Linked DNA regions of Sus scrofa. The protein of the gene in region 2 interacts with the protein of the main gene of each other region in a biochemical or structural test. Links are inferred from orthologs where the notes say so. Each region holds a gene or a part of one and is shown on either strand. Other genes may lie near its edges.

Evidence for each region.
Region 1: of the proteins of tyrosine-protein kinase ZAP-70 (region 2) and LAT, one has a biochemical effect on the other in vitro, tested with the Homo sapiens proteins (2 studies listed by BioGRID). The link is inferred for Sus scrofa from reciprocal best matches to the Homo sapiens genes ZAP70 and LAT.

Annotation. Positions count from the first base shown.
Region 1 is NC_010445.4:18,641,680-18,645,346, forward strand, and holds the end of LAT (linker for activation of T-cells family member 1), read left to right. Parts: intron 1-796; coding exon 797-859; intron 860-1,071; coding exon 1,072-1,134; intron 1,135-1,234; coding exon 1,235-1,302; 3' UTR 1,303-1,309; intron 1,310-1,460; 3' UTR 1,461-2,674; downstream 2,675-3,667. UniProt on the Homo sapiens protein: Required for TCR (T-cell antigen receptor)- and pre-TCR-mediated signaling, both in mature T-cells and during their development.
Region 2 is NC_010445.4:56,538,441-56,543,522, forward strand, and holds the start of tyrosine-protein kinase ZAP-70, read right to left. Parts: upstream 3,367-5,082; 5' UTR 3,195-3,366; exon of another isoform or gene 3,038-3,194; intron 2,940-3,037; 5' UTR 2,857-2,939; intron 1-2,856. UniProt on the Homo sapiens protein: Tyrosine kinase that plays an essential role in regulation of the adaptive immune response. Regulates motility, adhesion and cytokine expression of mature T-cells, as well as thymocyte development.

The sequences.
Region 1 (3,667 bases), about 38 Mb from region 2:
CCCTTCCCCGCCTGGCCCTCTTTTGCCCCATCGGTACAGTTATTTTTTTTTTTAACAGAAGCTTGGCAGCCCTTCCTGTACCACAGGCCCTGTTTTAATTCACTGCTTTAGTTTTCACGATGCCTCAGTGGGTACCATTCCTCACCCTATTTTACAGGTGAGAAAACTGAGGCCCAGAGAAGTGAGGTAGCTTGTCTGAGGTTACACAGTAAGTTAAAGCTGGAGCTGGACTTGAACCTGGGCAGTCTGGTTTGGAAGCCTGCCTTGTCTACATCCTCGTGGAGAAATAAGTCAGCACGAATAAAATGCCGACAATGGCGACAGGTGCTAGGAAGGGACAAGGACAGGAGCGGGTGTCTGGGCAGGCCTGGCTAAGGAGGAAGGGCAGCGGGGCTAATGGCGCCTTTAAGTGAGCCCAGCCCTGGGTATTGTTTTCTTCACACATGGCACCCAGCCCCATCACCCTGAGCTGCTCCCCAACCTGGAGGACATGCTAGGGGGTCACCTGGAGGTCTGCTGTCTCTTCTCCCACAATTCTATTCCCTCTAGTCGGTTTTGACCAAGGTATCCTACTTTCCTCCATCGCCACCAGCATCTCCGGTCCAAACTGCCCTCCCCCCACCCCTCTGGGACTGACTGTGGGGATGGTCTCTGGGGGCAGGGGGTATCTGTGTGTAGGAGTCTCATTGGTCTGGTCACGTGGAAAGTCTTTGATGGCTGTGGTTGGGAGTCTCGGGGTGTCTGTACTTGGGGGCTCTGGGTAACAGTGCCGGGGGCACTGGTGCTTTTGCTACAGTGGAGTCCGGGGAAGATTACGTGAACGTTCCTGAGAGTGAGGAGAGTGCAGATGCGTCTCTAAGTGAGTGGCTGAGCCCCCGGCGCCCTCCTGGGGTCTACCTTCCCTCCTCACCCTCATCCCCAGCACCCATCCCCACGCTCACCCCAGCCCTGGGATGCCCACAGCCCCCTGTGACTCCCTCACCCTCTGATCGGGTGTCCTCCTCTCTCACCCTCAATGGGGCCTGCCGCCCTTTGGGTATGGCCGTCCCTCCTTCTGACCTGTCCCCACAGATGGGAGCCGGGAGTATGTGAACGTGTCCCAGGAGCTACAGCCCGTGGCCAAGACCAAGCCTGGTGTGTGTTGGGGGGACGTGGGGCAGACACTGGGGGAGCTGCCTCTGCGGAGGTGGGGTGGGGATTGCCAGCTGGAGACCAACCTCCGCTTCCCTCACAGCCACCGTGCGTTCCCAGGAGGTGGAGGATGAAGAAGCTCCAGATTACGAGAATCTGCAGCTTAACTGAGGGCCTGGTGAGAGGCCCCGCCCAGCGCAGCCCTGCCCTGAACTTTCGGGCCCTCGACCTTCCCTGCCCTCCCGCCATCTCAGCCCTCTCCTCTCTGACCTCTACCAGCCTCCTGACCTCATCACCCCTCCCTCTCTCTCTGTCCTATTGTGTTTCAGTGTGCCTGTTCCGGAACCAGCCTTGCCCAGGAGTGCTGAGCCCAGCAGCTGGCAGTGGCTTTGTAGAGCCCCACCCTGCCCCGGCTCCAGCCTGACAACAGTCTGAGAATTTTTCCCCTAACTTATTGTCACTTCGGGGTCCAGTCCATGTGGCCCCAATACTCCGCACCTTCTGACGCAGCCTGAGAATGAAGTACCCTGGCCCCAGCCCTACTCTGTAATAGAATAAAGGCTGGTGTGGTCTGCAGTGATCTTGGCTTTGAGGGGGTGCCTAGTGGGTCAGAGTCGGAGCGAGGGTGGGCGGGGTCTGGGGGGGTCTGTGTGCGCATGCGGGAGTGTGTTCGCGCATGCGCAGGCGCCTGTGCGCATGCGTGCTTCTGGGTCTCCATCCTCACATGCTCCCGGGTCCCTGACTGGGTGTGTGTGTAATTGAACGAAGCGTGGGACACGTCACCTCTCGAATGAGGCAGTTCCAACCCCGGCTGGGCCTTCTGGGCTCTGACATGTCTCTCCACGAGTTAGTCCTCGGAAGGGAAGCACTGGGTGGGCGTCTAGAGGAGACCCTTCCCTGCTGGCCCCCAGTTTCTCCCTCTTTAAAACAAGCGGGTGGACTTGACAACCACAAACGGCTTTCTTAGGGCCTACATTTTGTGGTTCTTAATAAAACAGAACTTTAAAAATTGCCTCCGCAACTGAAAAAGTTAATGGACAGTGACGTCCTCTTCAGACTTGTGCAGGCGGCTCCCCTGGGGGTTTGGCTAAAATGCAAACTCTGCTTCAGTCGAGCTGGGATGGAGCCTGAGACTCTGTGTTTCAAAGGAGCGCCCGACTGGTTCTGCTGCTGCTCCGAGACGCCCGCCCCACCCCCCATCCCCAGTAGCAGGATCTGGAGGACATCCTGGTCGTTGTGACTGGTTCCGACGTGAGCAAGTGACCACCTGGCCAGAGTGAGGCCCAGCGCTGGACATGGGCAGCAAATGTCAGGAAGAAGCAGCTCTTTCTCTTCACGGCAGTCGTGCAGCTGGGGAATGTGGTCCTTGGGGCCCATGCCTGGAGTGCCTCCTGAGAATGATGGAGGAGAGACAGCCCGGAGGCGGGCAGGGCTGGCCGGCTTCCTGGTGGTGTCAGAACACCTGGATCCAGTCACACCTGAAGCAAGATAGCCCCTCAGACTTCAGTTACTCGGGCCAATAAATGACCAGTTTTCTTCCATCGCCTTGACTTGGGGTTTGTGTCGCATACAACCAGAGTAGTCCTGAGTGAGACGCAAAGTTGTTGGCATCCTCTGTGGGCACCAAAGGTAATAGAAACAGCTCCCTTGTGGAGTGCCTGCCGCATTTCCATGCTTCTGTAGTTGTTGTCACGCCCCTTGTTGTGGATTACTGTGCGTTTCCCGGTTTTGTAGGTGAGGAAACAGGCTCGGAGAGGAGAAGCGATTTGCCCAGAGGCACACAGCCAAAGTGGCAAATCTGGGCTGAGATCTGTGCCTCTTGGCCTCCGGGATTATTGCCACCAGCGCCCTTGCTCTAAGTGGGGAGGTTGTGAGAGGCCCTTTGGAGAAGTGGGGGAGGGATGTCTGGGGAGGGGCAGAGACAAACTAGACATCAATAAGGGATGTTAAGGAGTTCCCTGGTGGTGCATTGGGTTAAGGAGCCAGTGTGGTCACTGCTGTGGCTTGGGGTCGCAGCTGTGGTATGAGTTTGATCCTTGGCCCGGGAACTTCGACATGTTGCTGGTGTGGCCAAAAAAAAAAAAAAAAAAAAAAAAAAAAAAAAAACCGTGCTGTTAAAATATTTTATTCGGAGGAAATAAAAAAGGGCAGAGGCACTTTTATGCCTGGGCCAGACGGTTTACCAACAAAGTTATGTTGGTACAACCACTCGGAGGATAATCTGGCAACATCAGCAAAGCTGAAGATGGTGTGTCCCCTTGCCTAGCAAATTCCTGGGTATAAATCTGGACAAACCAGCAGATGGACTAAGGCTAAAAAGGTGGATCCAAGGGGCTCGGAGCAGATTATAATTGCTGACAACTGAGAACAGCAGACCCTGTCACTCAGGAGAGCGGTTACTGCAGGCCAGAGGCGAAGGATGCCTGGGAACGAGTTCAGGGACCCTCGATGGTACGTGTCATGTTTGATACTTAAATGCAGGTATTTGATACATGATTCTTTCAAGTGTTTGCATATCTGAGTGGTTTCGTAAGAA
Region 2 (5,082 bases):
AGAAGCTTCCTCCACTAACCAATGATGGGAGAGGAAGGAACCAACCGGTGGAGGCTTTGCACAGGCCGCTCCCTCTGCCTGGAACAGAGCCCACACCCTTCTCCTGGCCACATGCTTCAGGTCCTTTCAGCTGTCCCCTCCACCCAAAAGTGTTTTATGACTCCCCTTGCTCCCTCCACATCTGAACACCTCCTCTGTCCTTCCAGGGGCCCATCCTCCCGCATCACAGCCCTGATGGCCAAGTCTGAGTGCTGTTTTCTCCTCTGTCTCTGACCAGCCCGGGCTCCCCAAAGCACCTACACCTGTCTTGTTTTCACTGCAGCTCCTGCTTCCTCCCAAAAAATATTTGTCAAACAGCAACAATAACAATAATCTCCTTGCCAAAGACTTTACTATATCTCTTCTTTTTCTTTTTTTTTTTTTCCTCTTCTGGCCACTCCACAGCACATGGAGTTCCCGGACTAGGGATCAGATCCAAGCCACAGTCTTGACCTAAGCTGCAGCTATGGCAACGCCAGATCCCTAACCCACTGTGCCAGGCTAGGGATCCAACCTGAGTCCCAGAATTTCCAAGATGCCCCTACCCCATTGTGCCACAGCGGAAGCTCCTCCTACACCTCTTCTGAGCATTAGCCAGTTAATCTAGTTCTCACTGCCGCTCCATTAAATGGGAATCCCCATTCCTCAGCGAAAGAAACTGAGGCTCAGAGAGTTTAATTTCATGTTCAGAATCATGTCGCTTGCAAGTGGCAGTCAGGATGTGAACCATGTGTCAGCCCAGTGGTGCAAGTGGCAGTCAGGATGTGAACCATGTGTCTGCCCAGTGGCTGGCACTAACCACTGTAGGGAGTGTCCATTAGGAGAGCAGAATCCACAGCTCTGAGCTGGGTCCCCAGAAGGGCTCCCACCCCAGCCTGGCCTGGGTGCTGCTACACTTGGATCTGCCTTCAGGGACAGTCAGGGCAGACTGCTGAGCTGCTGCGGAGTGAAAGGCAGGTCCTCAAACCTCAAGCAGACTGTCTGTTGACTGACTGAACGATGTCACAAGATCAAACCCCCCTCCCCAACTCCAACTTCTGCTACCAGGGTCTTAAGTGCTGTGGAAACCCAGCAAGGGGCCATCCCTCTCTTGGTGTCAGGCTCTGTGACTGTCAAAGGGTGATGGGGAAAGATTTAAAGGATGGAAAAGGCAGGATGAGTGGGGAGGACAGAGCCAGACAGCACACTGTAGGATGTTTAGCAACATCTCTGGCCTGTATCTTACTAGACGCCAGTAACACCCGAGTCATAACCAAAAATGTCTCCAAAAATGTTATTGAATGTCCCCAGTGAGTGGGGATGGGGGAGGTGAAATTGGCTCCAGTTAAGAAGCACTTCCTGGAGTTCCCATCGTGGCACAGAGGAAATGAATCCGACTAGGAACCATGGGGTTGCGGGTTCAATCCCTGGCCTCACTCGGTGGGTTAAGGATCCGGTGTTGCCATGAGCTGTGGTGTAGGTCACAGACATGGCTAGGACCCTGCATTGCTCTGGCTGTGGTGTAAGCCGGCAGCAACAGCTCCGATTAGACCCCTAGCCTGGGAACCTCCATATACCGCAGGTGTGGCCCTAAAAATCAAAAACAAAAAAAAGCAAGCACATCCTTAACCCTGGCCTCACTTCAATCCCTGGCCTCACTCAGTGGGTTAAGGATCTGGTTTGGGAGAGTCTCCAGGGGCTATGAGACCACCCAGAGCTAGGGATCATACTTGAGACTACACCAATATGCTTACACAGCACCTACTGTGTGCCAGGCACTCTAGATAGATTAACTCCCTAATCCTCGAGAGAACACTGTATGTGGAGGATTTGTGGATTTGGGACATGAAGACACAGAGGAGGAGGGACTTGCCCAAGGTCACATAGCACACAAAGGAGGTGGTAGAGCCAGGCCTCCTGGCTCCAGAGAATACACCGAAACACCATCCCGGCTGTCTGCCTGCCCAGCATCCTTGCCAGGGCTGTGTGGTGAGGCAGGAGAACAAGCAACAACAGGAAAAAGCAGCCCTGCATTGGCAGGAGAAAAGCTTCACAGGTGACACCTAAGGACTTTCCGTCCCATAGTCCCTGACCCTAATCTCAAAGTTTTATTAAGCACCTACTGTGTACTCACTACCCTGAGACAAGGGTAATGAAGCTCATCTTGAGCCGTTCACCACATGAGCTTCCCTGTTCCTTCCTGCCAAGACCCTTTCCTGCCTGGAACAGCTTTCCAACCTCTCACCCAACAGTTAGGAGCCAAGCACCTAGTAGGTGCCAACAATTGCATCCGCCTTTAACAGATGTGCAGAGGTTCCGAGAGGCCAAGCAACTTGCCAAGGACACACAGCAATTGAGCAGGATTAGAACTGTTTGCTCCTTTGCCTCTCTGTTTCGCCTTTAACCTGAGCTCCTCTACAAAGCTGGAGCCTGCCCTGGGTCCCCTCATGGGACTCATCAGCATTTTGATGTTCAAGTTCATGGCTCTGTTGAGCCACCTTCATTTTCATGGACCTGGGGGCCAGAGCACATGGTTGTTTTCTCTGGAGGTTTCTCTGCTTCCTGGGGCCCTACAGGAGGCTAGGGACTGAGCAGGCATCTCTGTGGCCCCCGGATAGAGGTATCTTCTACCACTTGGCTGACCATCTGGAGGGAGATCTGCTTAGGATGGCCACCAGCCGTGTCTACTTCCTTCTCCAGCTGGACACCACCCATCAGAGTCCTGTAGCCCTTCAGGTACCCCCAGTGTCCTCCTGACTCTGTCCTCCTCCACCAGACCCAGGCCACCCCTGCAGACAGCAGTTCCAGCCAGGTGCTGCTCCATCCAGGATGACTTACCTGGGGATGTGCCAATGGAGGTCAAGGCACAGGCCACCTGCAAGGTCTCTGGTCTTCAGTTCCAAAGCCCACAGCAACTGGTTCTAGATGAAGAATCAGGGCCCAAGAAACCAACTTGAGTTGCTCTGCAGCCTGAGCCCCCAGCCTGAGGCCCCTGCCGGCTAATCACCCACTCACTCACCCCGGCAAGGTGTAAGGAGGCCCTGCCCCACCAGGGTTTCTCACTCGGGGTGGAAGGGGGAGCGGAATTGGCTTCACCCACTGCCGGCAGCCACAGAAGGCCCTGCGGTGGCCGTGCTGGCCCAACAGAGGCAGAAGACGGGAGAACAGCAACCCACCTGGACACGCAGCAGAGCACGGAGGCCCGAGCTGGGCAGGGACCCAGTGCGGAAGGCCTGATGCACTCCTGGCAACAGGTTTCTCTGAAACTCAGCCTATTTCCTTGATGTGGAGACAGGAAAGCGGGCTGTGTTTGAAGTTTACGTCAAAGTCACAAAGTGCTGTGTTCAAGGAAAATCGCGGGCCACGTGCTCTGGGGAGGGCAGAGGGCATTTCCGGGGCCCAGCAGAGTCTGCTCTGGTAGTGGTGGCAGAGGGGAGCGGTGGGCGAGGCTAGCTGCAGGCAGGGGTTATGCAAGAATGATGGCTCCAAGAGCACACCCCTAACTTGGGGAGAAGGGAAGGGAGCTGTGAGGCCGAATGAGGTGGTGTAGTGGCAGTGGGAGGGGGATCCCCAGGACTCGCTGGAAACTAGAAAGCCCCCAGTTTCCCCTCCAATGGAGGCATGGACCCAGGGCCTGTCCCTGGATGAATTGCTCATATGAGTGACTGATTCATTCCACCAGCAGATTAAAATTGGAGGGAGAAGTAATCTCCCAAGTTGGTCTACACCGCAAAGGTTCGAAGCACCTCCTGTGTGCCAGACATCAGGCCAACAATGCCAGCCCTGTCCCTGCTCTCGAATGGGACACAGGCCAGACGAGGGGACAGCTGAGTCACCAGGAAGACCAGGGCTGGGATGGCGGAGGCCTGGACACAGTGTACACAGAGGGGCCCAGTGCAGCCCAGGGGGTATCAGGGCTGGATTCAGAGAAGGATTGGTTTTGTCATCAAGACATGGAGATAGCGTGGGCCCCAATGCCCACCAACCACTGCTGGGCCCACACACCGCCCCTGGCTGCTCACTGCCTCTTCCTCATCCTTTATCCCTCCTCATACTCACTCACCCTCTGACCATGTGACCACACCTCATGCTCCCCCAGCAGCCTGCAGAGCTGGCGGCTTGCAGGGCTGAGGCCTGTCCCCACATTCATTCTGCTCCATCTCCCCCCATCCCACCCCAGTGCTTCGGACACCCTCTCACCATACTTCCTGGCCCCCTTGGACATGCGGGGTCCTCTTCAGTGGCTGGCCACCCATGGGGCCTCAGGGACCCGCGAGGGGCTGTCCTAGGCCCACTGTTAAGATCCCAAGAAGCTTTCTTCTCTGGTGCCTCCACCCTGAGGGAAGCCCAGCTCCCCAACCAGCCTGACGTTTCCTCCGCACTTTACCCCCGTCTCCTTTTCTGGTACCCTCTCCCCACTCTCTACTACTCTCCCTTCCCTAAAGCCCCCTCTCCCTACTCAGGGAATCTTTTTTCTTTCCTTTTTAGGGCTGCAGCTGTGGCATATGGAAGTTCCCAGGCTAGGGGTCGAATCAGAGCTGCAGCTGCCAGTGTACACCACAGCCACAGCAACACAGGATCTGAGCTGCATCTGCGACCTACACCACAGCCCACGGCAACGCCAGATCCCAGCCTCATCCTCAACCTAACCTGCAGTGCTCGGCAATGCCAGATCCTTAACCCACTAAGTGAGGCCAGGGATCAAACCCGCATCCTCACAGACACTATATCAGGTTCTCAACCTGCTAAGCAATGGGAACTCCAAGAAATCTTTTTTCTAAGCTCCAGGCTGGGATACTTTTCTCCTGCAGAGATTTTCCCCAAAATTGTTTTTGTTAGAAGCCTTCCTTTTCCCCACAGATATTGTGAGATTCAGGGTACAGAAAAAGTCTTTGTTTCCACACTGGGTACTCCTTTCCTGGGAAATGAGAGAAGAACGCCCTGGCAGACTGAAGAGGGGAGAAATCACAGCCTCAGAACCACATAATCTACCATAATAACCGTAGCACTTACTATGGGTCACACAAACTTGTAAGCAGTTTGCAATTTAACCCATTGAATCCA